Linked DNA regions of Nothobranchius furzeri. The protein of the gene in region 1 purifies or fractionates together with the protein of each later gene. This does not show direct contact. Links are inferred from orthologs where the notes say so. Each region holds a gene or a part of one and is shown on either strand. Other genes may lie near its edges.

Evidence for each region. Proteins that work in one complex are often made in the same cells at the same time.
Region 2: the proteins of fxr1 (region 1) and tdrd3 purify together in Homo sapiens (affinity purification with mass spectrometry; 3 studies listed by BioGRID and IntAct, with this or other methods). This does not show direct contact. The link is inferred for Nothobranchius furzeri from reciprocal best matches to the Homo sapiens genes FXR1 and TDRD3.

Annotation. Positions count from the first base shown.
Region 1 is NC_091748.1:72,996,136-73,004,216, forward strand, and holds the start of fxr1 (RNA-binding protein FXR1), read right to left. Parts: upstream 4,444-8,081; 5' UTR 4,418-4,443; coding exon 4,328-4,417; intron 1-4,327. UniProt on the Homo sapiens protein: mRNA-binding protein that acts as a regulator of mRNAs translation and/or stability, and which is required for various processes, such as neurogenesis, muscle development and spermatogenesis.
Region 2 is NC_091749.1:38,764,005-38,772,162, forward strand, and holds the start of tdrd3 (tudor domain-containing protein 3), read left to right. Parts: upstream 1-2,787; 5' UTR 2,788-2,925; coding exon 2,926-2,963; intron 2,964-4,325; coding exon 4,326-4,410; intron 4,411-6,829; coding exon 6,830-6,895; intron 6,896-7,310; coding exon 7,311-7,471; intron 7,472-8,158. UniProt on the Homo sapiens protein: Scaffolding protein that specifically recognizes and binds dimethylarginine-containing proteins. Plays a role in the regulation of translation of target mRNAs by binding Arg/Gly-rich motifs (GAR) in dimethylarginine-containing proteins.

The sequences.
Region 1 (8,081 bases):
TTCACAAAAACAGACATATGGTACGTAGGGTTGTCACGGTAACCGGAATAGCGGTAAACCCCGGTAAAAAAAAGTTGACAATAATAATAACCGTCTTGTTTAAAAAAAAACATATATTATCTCGGTGGGTTACCGTGGCTGCGGTGTAGCGCGGTGACCCTTACCAGCCACCGTATCATCTGCTGAAGTTGCCGGCGGCACATGCTCGCTTTGTTGTTTACAACCAAAACTTTCTTGAAGCTAAAGCTGAAATAATGACCAGAGGAGGAGACGGCAGCACTCAGGACATTTTTTATCCCTCAAGGAAGACAAAGTGGGAAGTACGGGCATCTTTTGGATATTTGAAGAATGCCGAGGGACAGTTTATAGAAGATGCCACGGCTATCCTGTTTGCAGCACGTGCAGAAAAAGTGTCTGTGAAAGGCAGCAACGCCTCAAATCTCATGACACATCTGCGTGACCATCACCCACAACTCTACAGTCAACGCAAGGCAAGCTAACGTTAGCGTTTTAGCTAAAATGCGTGATCCGAGGATTTGGGTTGAGGGAGAATGCAACGAGTCGCTATATAAAGCAGCCGCAGCGCCGCTACCTGCATATAAACCGTGTCGCAGACACCCCCATGTTGAAATGACGCTATGCATTACGGGGCTCCCAGGGGCAGATAAGAGTTGGTCTCTCTCTGAGAATAATTATGAATTTATGACATTTTCCCAAATCTGCAAAGCTCACTGGAAGAACACAAACTGAGGACAATATTTTCCTGATATATGGTTTATTACTCAAATAAGGGTAAAAAAGTATCTGATTAGAAAGCTACTTGAGTACTGAGTATCATCTGATCTAATATTTTTAAAATGATGACATCAATTAGACAAAAGATAAGAAGTTATGGGCAAATATTGGTATTTTAAAGACTAAAGGGAAAAAATGTAAACAAATAAACAACATAATTACAAAATAACACATTTTAGGCAAAATTTAGACACAAACTGAGGACAATATTTCCTGACATACAGGGTTTATTTAATTGTGTGAAAATGTAGCACGTTTAAAAAAAATACCGCGATACCCCCCGCACCGTGAGAACAAACATCCCAGCTCCAAGGCCGATCTTTATCCGCGTACGTCACACGTCACGTGATCAGGAAGCAGAAAATCCATGTGTGAGGAGATCGTTTTGGGCCGCTGCTGTAAAAAAGTGAGGCACGAACCGGAAAAGCTTCTGCCGATCACAATTCGACAACCGATTATGAAAGAACGGATAACGCTGGAAACACGCGGATTCTTCCTGATGTAAGAGGTGAGTCTCCTCTTTGTTTTGGTTGTTTTGGCGTCGACATCCGGAACTTTCCGGAACTGCACTACTCTGGGTGGCCGTATGTTGGAGTAGCTCTGTTGATTATATGCAAGTTTTGCCTTTTCTTGGACATTTTTTCTTCTAGTTTCTCAAGAAAAACTGTATTTTTGGACACTTTGCTTTTCTGTTTCTGGTGCTGTGAAGCTTGGGGGATTTTTACTGCTATTTTTTAGCTTTTTTCACTTTTTGAGCAGTTGTTATGATGCGTAACCATGGCAACAGTCTGGTTTACAATCGGTAGCAGCTGATTAACATTGGAAAGGCTGAAATAATACCTCAACTGAAGCCACAAATCCCAAATGAGCTAAAACGCAAGAAGTATGGGTGCAGAGCGGGAGCAAAACGGAGACAGAGAAAGAGGAAATTCAAACCATCTCTTCCATCAATCATAATGGGCAACATGAGATCACTGGCCAACAAGATGGAGGAACTCCAAGCCCTTTCAAGGACTCAGCCAGAGTTTCGACAGTTTCAGAACCGCTGGAGGAGATAATGCAAAGAAGGATTCTCCAGATAATCAAGAAGATTATGGACAACCCTGAGCATTCTCTTCACAAGACTGTCCGACAACGGAAGAGCGTCTTCAGTCAGAGGCTTCTTCAGTTTCGCTGCAACACTGACCGCTACTGGAGATCCTTCCTGCCAACAGCCATTGTAATATACAATAACTCTTTGATGACTTGATTATTATTATTATTCTGAGCTACTACAGCAATCAATTTCCCTCTGGGATTAATAAAGTATTTTTGAATTGAATTGAATCATCCTAGAGCACAACATTCTGCACTTGTCATTCTTTTAAATTTCTAGAGACCACTTTATCAATGTGTCATCATTACTGGTATTACAATTTCTTCACACTGTGTATTTATTTCAAGCTCAATAAATATATTTGAGAGTAAATGAAGAACGGTTCTAAATCAAGTGGGATTAAAGGGCAGACTGGTTCTTGTGCCAAGTTTAATAAACATTTTCTAATTTAAATTCATCTTCATTAGATTGAATTTCAAAATGAGCTTTTGTTTTGTATTTAAAGAGCAAGTCAACCCCTACCAGAGTCTAACTCCACTCCCGCTTCATGTTTGAAAAATGCAACACATGCTGTTGCCTGGCAGACCGAGAGGGCGGAGCCGCTAACAAATACACACACACTCAGGCTCACGACAGCATTGTGACATCATAATGTACCAGTTTACATCATAGCATACTTCTTAGCCAATAGCGGTGGCAGATTTAAATTAAAATACAGTGCAGAGTTTTTACCTGACAATGGCACAACACTGCCAGTTTGAGGCAGAATATTTAAATTTTAACTAAGATGCACTGAAGTGCCAAATTATTGATGACACGTGTCTGCAGCACGATTAGACACTCGTTTATTTAGTTTATCAGCAAAAAAAAGTTTATTTGGGGGTGACTTGCTCTTTAAAGAGCAAGTCACCCCCTACCAGAGTATTACTCCACTCCCACTTCATGTTTGAAAAATGCAGCAAATGCTCTTGCCAAGCAGACCGAGAGGGCGGAGCTGCTAACAAATACACACACACACACACAGGCTCAAAACGACATTAGGACATCATATCGTACCAGCTAACATTCTAGGGTACCTCTTAGCCAATAGCGATGGCAGATTTAAATTCAACTGCAGTGCAGTGTTAACCTGACAATGGCACAATGGACAGTTTTAGGCAGAACATTTACATTTTAACTAAAATGCACTAAAGTGCTAAACTATTGACTACACGTGTCCGCAGCACGATTAGACAAGCATTTATATAGTTTATCAGAAAAAAAAAAGTTCATTTAGGGGTGACTTGATCTTTACTGCATCTGAATGGCCCCTCAAGTAATCTATATAGTATCAAATCTATACCATGTGGAGCAGAACAGATGTGATTTGGGAGATTGTTTGCAGTAAATCATCAGATCACAACAATGCTGACTGGACTTTCATCTTAAATCAGCAGTCGTGGGGATGAAACCCAAGAATTCTGACATTTATATTCGAAAGTATATTTAATCTCTTTTGAGGAACAGCCTGCGGGTCTTTTATAAAAGTCATGTGACAATCTTGTCTGAAACTGTGTGGCAGGGACTTTACAGAGAAAAGAACGTCACACCTTCACGTAACTCACGAGTTTAAAAGATGCAGTGTAACTGGGAATGGCTGAGGTAAACATATGAGCAAAAAGGAACAGTGATCTCGGTATTATAATGAGCTGCATCACCGGGGGCATGGGGATGAAACGAAACCGAGAGAAGTGAAAGAGAAAATACAAAAGTATCACTTTAGGGCCGAGGTCTAGAAATAGCTTACAAGTGTACAATATCACCGAGGCTCTGCTGACATGCCAACTGCTCTGGACTGACAGGGAACAGCTGGCACACATAGCGAAGATGGCCTGAACATGATCAAGTATCAAATAATAGACGGTGACAGGAAGATATGGTAGTCTGTGAAGAGCGTTGCAGGCGTGGTGCTTTCTGAACGCCGTTAGTAAAAAATAAAAATAAATAAAAAATACCCTCCAAACCAATTATGTGTTGTTATTCTAAAACGAATAAAACGTCAACCCCGACAAGGAATACATGTTTAACGGATAGCTTTATTCAACTATTAGACGTCAACAGTTTGCGAGTTAGCTAACTTTTAGCTAATGACCGTTACAGTCACGGGAATGCAAAAAAACAGCTTTCACGTGTTTAATATCTGAGGTATAACGGAAAGGACAGTGATTCCTCTCATTTGTGTTGGGCAAAAGTCGATAAAACAAAACACTTGGCAAAAACAAGCGACCGACGTTAGCTTAGCCTGCTAATTTTGGCTAGCTGCACTTTAACAACAAACAGTTCGAGGACTCAAAGACACTCGGAACACGTAGTTACGGTCCTCGAAACTTCAGCTAACAGTCTGTATTGGGTAACGAAGTGCTACTTTTACAGCTGTGATGATATGCCGGTATTTACCTTATAATAAGCGCCGTTGGAGCCACGGACCTCCACCGCCAGTTCTTCCATATTGGACACGCAAAGGATGCCGGGACGACAGGTGTTCATTAGGGCTCCGATAGAGAGGCATGTTGTGGCGTTAGAAACTGTATTTTTGTGGTTTACATTTAAAATTATGATTGTTATTTAATGCTTTATGTTTGTGGGTTTCCTTTTAAGTTTCATATTTAATGCCCCACATCACTGGGGATATTTAACACGTTGTTTTATGAAGATGTTCAAAAGCATCATTCTGTAAAATGTAATGAGAATAATGTAAGAAGAGTCATTAAAATGAGAACATATTTCACATTTAATGATACACATGTCAGCTGAAATGCCACATTCAGACTAAGTTCACTACAAACAAACAACAGACGTGTGTCTGGCTTAAGATCACACATGGAATGAGTAGAAATCTTCATTGCTTCCAGGTATCACATCCAGAACATTCCGTTGAAAATATTCTCTCATAGAAGCTTAGACCTTCATGAAATAGTAACTCCAAAGTGAAGGCTTCTCTGGTCTGCTTGGTAACGAAATCATAACTAGGTTGTCATGAGTCGGGGTGAGTACTCGTCTCACACATTCCACCTTTGAGTTGTGTTTCAGGAGAGGGAGGCTTCCAGCTGCGCCAGGTTAGCAATCGGGGGGACCGGCTACTTAAGGAGTTGGAGAACACACCTCGACGCGGGATGATTACTACAGCTCGGTAGTTTCCAGCTTTCTAGTGTTGCAGTGATTTTGTGCCTCTTGTGTTTTTGGCTTATTGATCTATGTGGATTTTTTTGTGCTCACGCCTTCTTCAGGATTTTTGGAACATCTCTGGAGTAGAGACTTCTCAGGATTCAGTGACTCATCAGGATACTCACCTTTGCCACGTAACCCTTCAGGATGCAGCTCTCTGCTGTTCTCCATTCCTCCATCCAATCCGCTCACCTGCTCTCTCCACGCTCCCTCTCCTGGACCTCCTCACCCGGACACACCCCGACTCTGGACCTGCCCTTCCCAATACCTACACCTCCCAAATTCCCTATGCTGCGCTCCGTTTCCCGACCTCCACTGGAATTCCCAGTGCACCTTATGTTCTCGTTCTAAAATAAACATTCTTTTTTTTTTTCATTAAATCAGTGAGTTTATTGTGATTGCATGTCCTGGGTTAAACGCCTTCCCCAGACCATGTCAGAATCATCCCGCCAACCCGCTAACCCTGCAGACACAACTCTCACCGATCATCTCCATAGGGTGTCCCAACAGGAGCAGACGATGCCGCTGCAAATGAAGCAGCTTAACGCAGCCCAAAGTCGTTGCCAGCAGCTGGAGGCCCTGGTGCGGCAGATCCACAACCGAGTGTCTCAGCCGCAGACTCCTAGAACGGAACCTCAGGCGGCCGCTCCAGTTGCCTCCGGACCGGAAGTTCCAGTTCCCACAGAGATCACCCACTTCCATCCAGCCGCTTCTCCTCCATCCCAGACATTCGGCGGTGAGTTCAAGGACTGCCATAGCTTCCTCCTTCAGTGTCGTCTCGCATTTGAACGCTCACCAGGAGCTTTTTCCACAGACTCAATTAAAATGTCATATATTGTTGGACTACGTCATGGACGAGCCCTACGGTGGGCTGAAGCTAAGAGCCATTGTGCCACTTTTCTATTAGGACCTCATGATGAGTTTTTAACGGACTTCACACAGACTTTTGGACAGACCGAATTTGTTTTGGATATTAGGAAGCGACTCTGGACATTGTCACAGGGTCGACGATCAGTGGCGGACATGTCTGTGGAGTTCAGGACTTTGGCAGCAAGGACTTCATGGAACGAAGAAGCACTAATTGCTGCGTTCACAGAGGCTCTCAGTGATCGAGTCCAGGACCAGTTGGCGTTGTGCCAGGAACCTCAGTCTCTGGAGGGACTCATTCGCCTTGCCATCTCCATTGACAAACGTCACCAGGAGCTACAGCGCCCGGTCACCAGTGCTCGTCCAGCTCCCACTCCTGACCGTAACCAGGGGACTGGATATCGCTCCTCTTCTGAGACTACCACAACTGATGAACCCATGCAGATGGGTTGGACTCGTCTTTCCCCAGAAGAGCGGGAACATCGAATAAGGTCAGGTCTATGTTTGTATTGCGGGGGGCCCGGACACTTCGCCAGAGTCTGCCCAGCACTGGCAAAAGGCAGAGCCCACCAGTAAAACCGGGACTACTGGTGGGCAGAAACTCCAGCTCCCGTTGTTCTATCCAGTGTACTGTGTTTTTAATTCTGAACAGTTTCAGCTAGAGGCATTGGTGGACTCTGGTTGTGAGCAGTCTATGTTGGATCCTGGCTAGGTAGAGAGGTGGAATACCCCTACCACTCGTTTGTCGTCTCCTCTCCCTGTGTCATCACTGGATGACAGGGCTTTATCCACCATCACTCACCAGACCATTCCCCTACAGTTAAGAGTGTCAGGTAACCACACAGAACGTCTGGCATTTTTTGTATTTCCCTCTCCCCAGTCCCCGTTCGTCCTGGGCCACTCTTGGTTGAAACGCTACAACCCCCAGCTGAACTGGAAAACCAACCGGATAGAAGGATGGAGTCCAGAGTGTTCTCAAGTTTGCCTTCGCTCAGCCTCACCAACCTTCCACAGCCCCACAATCCCTTCTGCAGAAGAGATTGATCTCTCCAAAGTACCTCTGGTCTACCATGACCTCAGACAGGTATTCAACAAAGACCGTGCTTCTTCTCTTCCCCCACACAGACCTTTTGACTGCAGCATTGAGTTGCTGCCTGGAGCTCCACTTGCCTCCAGTTGCCTATATCACCTTTCCAAGCCTGAGAGGGAGAGTATGGAGAGTTACATCCAGGAGTCTCTGGCAGCCGGTCTTATCAGGCCCTCCACCTCACCTCTGGGAGCAGGGTTTTTCTTTGTTCCAAAAAAGGAGGGAATGCTCAGGCCTTACACAGACTACAGGGGGTTAAACAAAATAACTGTAAAAAACAAGTATCCTCTGCCTCTGTTAACTTCCACTTTTGAGCCCATTCAGGACGCCACTATTGTCAGCCACTTGGATCTCAGGAATGCCTTCCACTTAGTACGGATCCGTCAGGGAGATGAGTGGAAGACGGGGTTTAAAATTCCTTTAGGACATTTTGAGTATCTGGTAATGCCTTTTGGCCTGACTAATGCTCCTGCTGTGTTTCAGTCACTTGTGAACTCTGTCTTAGGAGATTATTTGAATAAGTATGTGACTGTCTATTTGGATGATATCTTAATTTTTTCAAGTACTCTAGAACAACATGTTCAGCATGTTCGGTCGGTGTTACAGCGCCTCCTGGAAAACTGGCTTTATGTGAAGGCTGACAAATGTATGTTTCATGTCACCACGGTTAAGTTTTTAGGATTTGTCATCGAGAGTGGGAGGCTGAAGGCAGACCCTGAGAAGGTCTAGGCAGTCACGGAATTGCCTACCCCATCCTCCCGTAAACAACTCCAGAGATTCCTGGGTTTCGCCGACTTCTACAGGAGATTCATCAGAAACTTCACTCAGACAGCCGCTCCTTTAACTAACCTCGCCTCCATTAACCAGCCTTTTGTTTGGTCCCCAGAAGCCCAAGCAGCTTTTCTGATGCTGAAAAGGAAGTTCACACATGCTCCGGTGCTCCACCGACCAGACCCCCAACTCCAGTTTACACTCGAGGTGGATGCCTCAGACACCGGACTTGGTGCAGTACTGTCTCAGGTATCTCCTTCT
Region 2 (8,158 bases), on another chromosome or scaffold:
TAATACCAGGACTATGAGTTCTAGTGAACATGTATTTAGGTGCACAACAATACAAATTAGAAAATAAAACACAGCAAAATCAATTACAGATCATCAATATAAACCTAGTTAACACAATAGGACATGGGGCAGCAGTAGCTCAACAAGTTGAACGGGTTGTTCAGTAATCGGAAGGTTGTCGGAAGATCTTTGTCTCCCCTCTCCCTGCCACACCTGGTGTGGAGTGCGGTGCCTTGGTCTGCCTGGGTCGTGGCTCCCGGGTCAGGGAGTTTAAGATTTTTGGCATCTGCCTGACCAATCCCGGTGGCTGCCTGGTGGGGTCTGGGTCCCTGGGCTCAGCTTCGGACGGAGAATTCTGCTGTTGTGTCCTTGGGCAAGACACCTAACCCACCTCGCCTGCTGGTGGTCTGAGGGACCAGTGGTGCCTGTGCTTGGCAGCCTCACCTCCATCAGTGAGCCCCAGGGCAGCTGTGGCTACATCGTAGCTCATCCCTGCCAGTGTGTGAATGGATGAATGATGCACTGTAGTGTAAAGCACTTTGGAGTCATCTGACTCTGAAAGGTACTAGACAAGTTTATGTCATTTCTCATTTATCATGATTATTGAACAAATATTTAGTCCAATTCCTTTCCTGTTATTATTCTGCAGCTGAAACTCCTCTGTGGAAATGCGACATGAAGTTTATGACACAAATAATAAACTTTCTGATGCTAAATGAAGGAGAAGAAAGGTTTGCTACTAATGATTCTCTTGTTTCTCTTGTTCTGCTTTAAATATCTCAACAATATTTGTGCAGCATGAAATTTTAATTAGGGCCCCTGATTTAAGCACAAAATGTTTATTTTTAAACAAATATTCTAGTTGGTGATCACTAATATTATAAATAGTTATGCATCCTATGGACTTCTCATTTAGTGCTGTGCTTCTTTTATTTGTAGCTACAGTATTTTAATATGCCAAGCTGTTTGGCAACAGTAATTGTCTATGACAGGTGCCATGTTAAACTGTACTGTGGATATGTCTACATTCTGGCATGGAGATCATTTTGGATTTCAGTATAAGTGGATCTGAGTAAAACGACTGTGGATTCTTTGCAACACTGGACAGACTGATGAGAAAAGCTGGTTTGGTGGTGGACACGGAGAGGAGAGAAGCATGAAGAAACTGGTGGCTGTAATGGGCCGCACCCAGCATCTTCTGCTCAACACTATCATCAGGCAGACAAAAATGGTCAGTAACTGCCTCCTGCAGCAACATCCAACAGAATGACTCAGACCTCATCTGTTCCACTGTCTGTTAGGCTGTTGAGCTCCTCTCAGTTGAAAGAGAAAAGACACAAATGAAATGTCAATCAAATCACATCTCTAAGTGCAACAATTAACTTTGACACAGACTCTGTTTGATGTGCGTTTTAATTTATTTTTAATAAAGATTGTCAGTGTCTTCCTTCAGTCACCACTTTTACATTACAGTTTTTCTCCACTGGTTTGGCTCATTTCTTGAAACAGAAATTACATTCTCAAAATAACATGGACAAACCTCCAAACCTTTTGGCAAATGTTCACAACAGAATGGCATTTTGGGGACACTGACTATTCAGATTAGAAAGAAATGTAGTTTTGACACACGAGTGAGCTGTTTTAGGGGAGATATGAGCTTTTGCAGGTAAACCACGCTGTTATGATCAACTATCCATGTTTATTTTGACAAAAGCACCAAGAAGGATGAGAATGTCCGATTTGTGTCGAGAAATGAGCCAAAGCTATTGAGAGGGATCTTTGCCATTTTGGAGACACTGTTTAACCCTCCCACTGTCCTAATGGGTGTGACCCCGCGAGGAAAGTTAACCATTGGGCAGGGTTGATGGTTTATCCCTTGGGTCCATGTGGCAGGGGTGAGGAGTGAGCACCACCTCACCCCTGCCACATGGACCTCAAGGGATAAACCATCAATCCTGCTCTATGGTCAACTTTCCTCGCAGGGTCACCCATAAATACAGTGGGAGGGTTAAATGAGAAAGGGGTTTAGATTGAAGCCTGAGTGAACAGTTTTGAAAGAGATATGAGCTTTTGCAGGTGTTGTGCTAAACTGTAAGAGTGTTTTGCCAAATGATTTTAGAGGTTTGAGAATGAAATTTTTGTTTCAAGAAATGAGCCAAACCAATGGAGAAAACTGCAATATGCAGCCTATTTCAACTGCTTATAAAAATAAACTTCAGTCAAGCAATAATTATAAATACATTTCCCTTAAGTTACTATAGTCATTACTATTACTGCAAAGCCTCTTTCAGGGCTGCATACTTTTGCAATATATATATATATATTAGAGAAAGTCCAGTTGCCCTATCGATCGATCGATCGATCGATAGATAGATAGATAGATAGATAGATAGATAGATAGATAGATAGATAGATAGATGATAGATAGATAGATAGATAGATAGATAGATAGATAGATAGATAGATAGATAGATAGATAGATAGATAGATAGATAGATAGATGATAGATAGATAGATACATTATGTAGGATTTTAATCTTTTTAATTGAGTTCATATGTCATTTCATATGGATGCTGTACCAACGCGTCAGGATGGAAATAAAAAATATTTGTCAATTGTTACTTTTAAAATAATTGTCTTTATGGATGTGTTTGTATTTTTGTTGATTATAAAGCACTTTTAACCATTAGAATTACAGTAAAATCGATTGTGTGGAAATTAAATGTATTTTGACCTTCTCGGCACGCCGTACTCGTACAATGCGTCTCAGTTGGTGACGTAATTACGGTTGGGTCATTCAGAGTTCCCATTAACGAGCTTTGTTTGCAGGATAATATGCATTGTAGCATCAGATAATCGTTCTTGAGGTGGTCCCCTTATAAACCGACGATTGTGTTTATTCACACATCTTCGACTGGACGAAAATGACCGATCTAGCAGAGTCCCTGATCAAAGAGGGCTGGTAGGTAGCATGGTAGCTCAATGGTGCTGCTAGCCGTCTGAGCTGTCAGTTAACTGTTGAATAAAATAATTAGTCGTCACGTTGCCCTTTTTAATACTTGAGAATAAACAGCAACACTCGGAACTGCTCGACTTGTAGCAACATAGTTGGAAAGCTACACGACTACCAGAAACCACACGTCTGCTAGCTGGTTTAACTTAGCAGACGTAGCATTTGAAAGCAGACAGACGTTACTTCGTGCGTCAGACAAGAATCCGTAATAGCGTGCAGGTTCGGTCACTGATACCCGATGGCACTTGTTCAAAACCTGAACAAACAGCTCGTTTTCCAAGTGCTTTTGAAACGACGACTAACAGTGCTGCTGACTTTAATTTCTGGTTATTCTTTTAGAAATTTCAACAATCCAACGAGGCAATTACAGTTTTATTAAATTGATATGTTGTGGTTGGTCAAAATGTATTTATTTCCCTCAGAAATGCATTCATTTAGCATGAATATATCAGTTTCATGTTGTAGTGAAATTCTGCGGGAGTACATCTGAGAGACAAATGTGTTTTGAACCATTTCAGACGCAGGTGCATATTTAACACCTTTTACAACAAACAACACTAATAAAATTCCCAGTTGCAGAAATGTTTGGCTTCGCTTAATTTCACAGTCGGTGTTACTTTTGTAATGTTGCTGATAATAATAATAATAATAATAATGCAAAATGTAATCAATATTAGACTACAAAAAGTTCTAACTCCAAAATATTGATCAGATTGAACCAGAGTGTTTGTTTACATTATGTTCTCTGCAGTGTGCTTTTGTTTATGTTGTTTTACCTGAGCGTTTTGTGCAGGACTTTTAATTGTATTGACTATTTTTTTATTTGAGTTTTAACGTAATTAAAGTGATACATTAAATGTATGCACTAGAGAAAAAAATCTGTTTATGCTTTAGTGGATCTATGAAACTTGTAGACTTTGCCCTCTTTAGTTATTTTGTGAAACGTTATAAAGTTCTTAAGTCTTTTAATTTAGCAAAATAAAGCTGCATTTAGTGTTGTAACCATGTAAAATTAAATTGTAAGACTTTTCTAAATAAGAGGATGCTGCACAACTGAACTCTACGCAAAGTTGACTTTCTCTTACTTTTCAAGTCTGATTGCCTAATTAGTGCATCATATCAAACACTCTTTTTTTGCTCGTATCAGTAAATTTAGGAGGAAAGTCAATAATTTACAATAACAGCTGGAGATTTAACCCCCACTGGGTTTCAGAATATTTTAAACAATGTCTTCTGCATGAAAGACTTGCTCTCCTGCTGGCTCACCTTACTCAGCATTATTTCCTCTTCTCCTTGTGTCATATCTCACAGGTACCTCAGTGATGACGGCATAGCAGAACTGAAGGGATCGGCTGAGAAAATAACACACACTGACATCATTCGTATTGCACTCAATGTAAGTTGTATTCTCTTAGTGTTTTTGTGGTGTGACAGTAGTCTGGGTAGGAAAATGGATGTGAAAAGCATTTTAAAGGTTAATGGAAAAGGTCACATTTTTTTGCATCAGTTATCCAAGAGTCAGCATGTTTGCTGTCATCTTTTGCTTAGCATGAATTTATAAGTCATTTTTTGAAAAACTGCCTTGATTCTATCATCTTCAGTTGCTTCAGGTGCATTTCTCCATCATTCATTCATTCTTTGGTCTGTTTGTCTGATGCCTTCCTGACACAATATCTGGAATGAAAATGAAACTTTTAAAGTTGTGGAACACTGATAAACCCTCTCTACTAGGGATGAGCGGATAAAGCATTTTTGACGAATACGAGCATGAAGTGACTAAAACTCATAAATATCTGTAATCGTGCTGAAGGAAAATCCTCATTGGGTATCTGACTGCCTTCACGCTCTGTGATTGGCCAGTCACATAGAGCGCTCGCCCCTCCCTACACACAAAACTCTGCAGTCGGGAGCTCAGTCCGCGTCCGGCTTATCCACGCACACACACAGACAGTAACAGATCTCTCTGTGCTTGCTTCACTGTTGCTCACATTTCTTCAGTACTCCCTAGGTTTTCCTCAGCTCGCTTTTTTCAGTTTAATATTTAAAGTTACTTTTTTTTGTAACTTACATGGTGCATTTGACAAGACAGAGCTGAAAAACAGCTCGTGCTGCGTCGGTCACTGCCTCCGCTCTGCTCGGGGCTTTTTTGTTTTATTTTTCTCTCTCTCTCTCTCTCTCTCTCTCTCTCTCTCTCTCTCTCTCTCTCTCTCTCTCTCTCTCTCTCTCTCTCTCTCTCTCTCTCTCTCTCAATTAATGCTCATAAATAATGTTCTGATTTTATTGAAAAACTTGTTCTGTAATAGTTTCTTTACTATTGTGATCAAAAATATGTAATCTCAATTCTGAGGCTGCTCTGTAAATAGTGTTTATATAAACAATACACATAGCAACTTCTGATCAGTCCATATCAGTTTCAGACTTAAAATAATGTATTGATGTAAACCACACCTACTCCCGGTTAAACTGCACACACTTCCAGGTTAGGCCACGCCCACTCCAAATACAGATAATTTAGATGATTGAACAGATACAGATACAGATAGTGGTGTACTTGCTCATCCCTACTCTTTACTTGTTATTTCTGATTATAAGCAGTCCCTGTTGAGGTGTTCATGCAGGCTGAACATGTATATAGTCTCCTACACCTGTCTCCTGCATTATCTTCTGGTAGAAATTAGATGGTGAAACTCTAGGATTTGAAAATCCTAACAGGTCTATATCACACTGTCACTTAACATTCATGGACTCACCCATGTTGACTTGTGATGGGGGAGACTGTTGTTGGTGTTAGCATCCAGCAGAGAACATCTCGGCTAGTAGAAGCTAACCACATTAGTAAATCCACCACACAGTAGAACTCCTTCAGGCTTGAGTTATTTGTGGAGATCAAACATCAACGTTGCAGAGCAAGCAGAGTTGGTGGTAGAGTTGCATTGTTGTTAGCCAGTCAGAAGTGACATATCCAAATATCAGGAAGCAAGACTCCAAATCCTGCCTTGTTAAGCTCTCCTCTGACGTGGCATTCTGCTCGTTCCCAAAACAGGCGCATCTGTGCTTTTCTTCCCCTGAGTACGACTTGCAAGGCATTCATTCCTACTAGAGACCACTGTAAATGTATTGATTAAAGTGTCCCACACTTTTAAGGATAAAATTATTCAACCATCACAATTGTTAAATTACAGCTGTGTGTTCTCGAAACAGCAGCTGCATAAATACATAAAAGGACACTATCATTGTTCATAGGATCTCAAGTTTTTTAAATACTTCACAAAAGGAAAATTACAAAGGCGGCTTATCTGACCCACAGTATCAGATGAGTACAGAACACAGGAGCTGCATTCACAGCAGAAGCCTTGACCTTTTCAGGTTGGCCTGGAGCACTGCCAAAAGATCTGAGACGGCACTTGGACACATCACAGTGCACCTGATTCATTCGGCATGTTTTAACTTCAGGGCAGAGCTTAGAGGGCCATAAAATGGGGGTTGGTTTTACCGGAATATGCAATTAAAGAGTTTTAAGTAATTATTTAAATGTGAAAACAAACCAAATTCCTGACATCTTTCTATTATTAATTGTTGATAAATTGTACCTAGAAGGAGCCTTCTTTTTATTGTAACCAATGTCAGAACATGCCTCAGTATGATGCACAGGTCTGTAACTAAATCTGTTAAATCATTGTCATTAGATGCTCACCAAAAAGGGCCGTGTTAATTATTAAACTTTCAGTGCTTCATAATCAGCCTTTTTCCTGCTTTACTCTTACTATGACTTGTGTAATAACTGTTTTTGTTACGATGATGTGTGTTTCTTGCAGAATGATCTTAGGCCTATTGGGAGAAAATTTCTACCTTCTGATATCAACAGTGGAAGAACTGAGAAAGTAAGTGGAACAGAAATTCACAGGTTTCCTGCTAAGTGGTGAAGCACTACTGCCCTTGTTTTATGTCAGAAAGTGTTTGGAAAATGCTTGTAAATGAGTAGCTGCGGTGCAGTTCTCAGGGAAGCCACTAGATGGCGGAGACACACCAACAATATTGTGTTTAAGTTTTTTTTTTTTTTTTTGTGAAACTTAGAAAATGTTTTAGTTTTTAAAACATTGAATATTGACCCTTCTCCTTAAAAGGCTCTTAAATAAAAATAAAGCAATGTAAATTCAAATGGAAGAATGAACAAACCAGTTCTATTATAAGCTGAAAATAAAAGTCTCAAAGCCATTTAATTTCCATATCTGTTATTATCTTCAGTGCTTTGCAGCAGATTTGCCTCTCAGACCAATTTTCTTTGTTCTCTTCCAGTTGGAGGGTCCATGCGTCCTCCAGGTGCAGAAGGTGAGAAACATCTCTGCTCCTAAAGACCACGAGGAGTCCCAGGGTGCACCGCGAATGCTGCGCCTACAGATGACAGATGGGCACACCACCTGTGTTGGATTAGAGTATAAACATCTGTCCAAGATCAGGTATGGGGGCCGGGGGGGGGGGGGGGGGGGGGGGGGGGGTCAAACCAACAGATGCAGTTTAATGTGATTGTTTTGTACGTTAATATTGGCTAGTCAGATTTGCTTAGGTAAAAGTGCCACTTTTTCCCCCTTTGTGTGTGTGCGTGCATGTGTGTGTGTGTGTGTGTGCGTGTGTTTGTGCTCGTGTACTCTAATATACCAGCAACAGTGGGAAAAAAAATGCAACAATGACTAAATATCACAGTTCAGAAATTATGGATAAATTATAAAACTGTAAAGTTTTGAAAACAATAAATAAAAAATAAACTAAACAGCATTTTCTGTAGCAGTCTAAATGCAGAACAGCATGCATTTGGCCCTATCGTCACCCATTCAAAGCTAACATGTACGATTCTGTGCACACACGCTCCTCCTTCACCTCCTTGTCAACACTCTCACCCCACCACATGTCTGAATTTTTGCCTTTATCTGCAATTTCCACTTGGTGGCAGCTGATTTAACGACTTGCAGCCTTAATTACTTCTGCGTCCAAGCAACGGTGGCCTTGGTGATTGCTGCCATGGTGACGGACCAGTCTGTACAGGTGGAGTGGCCAGAAAATGGGCCTTTCCTTCCTGATGGGGGGAGAGTAGAGAACAGAACAGATCCCCTCTTTATGAGCGGCGCACACACTCTCTGGCAGCCAAC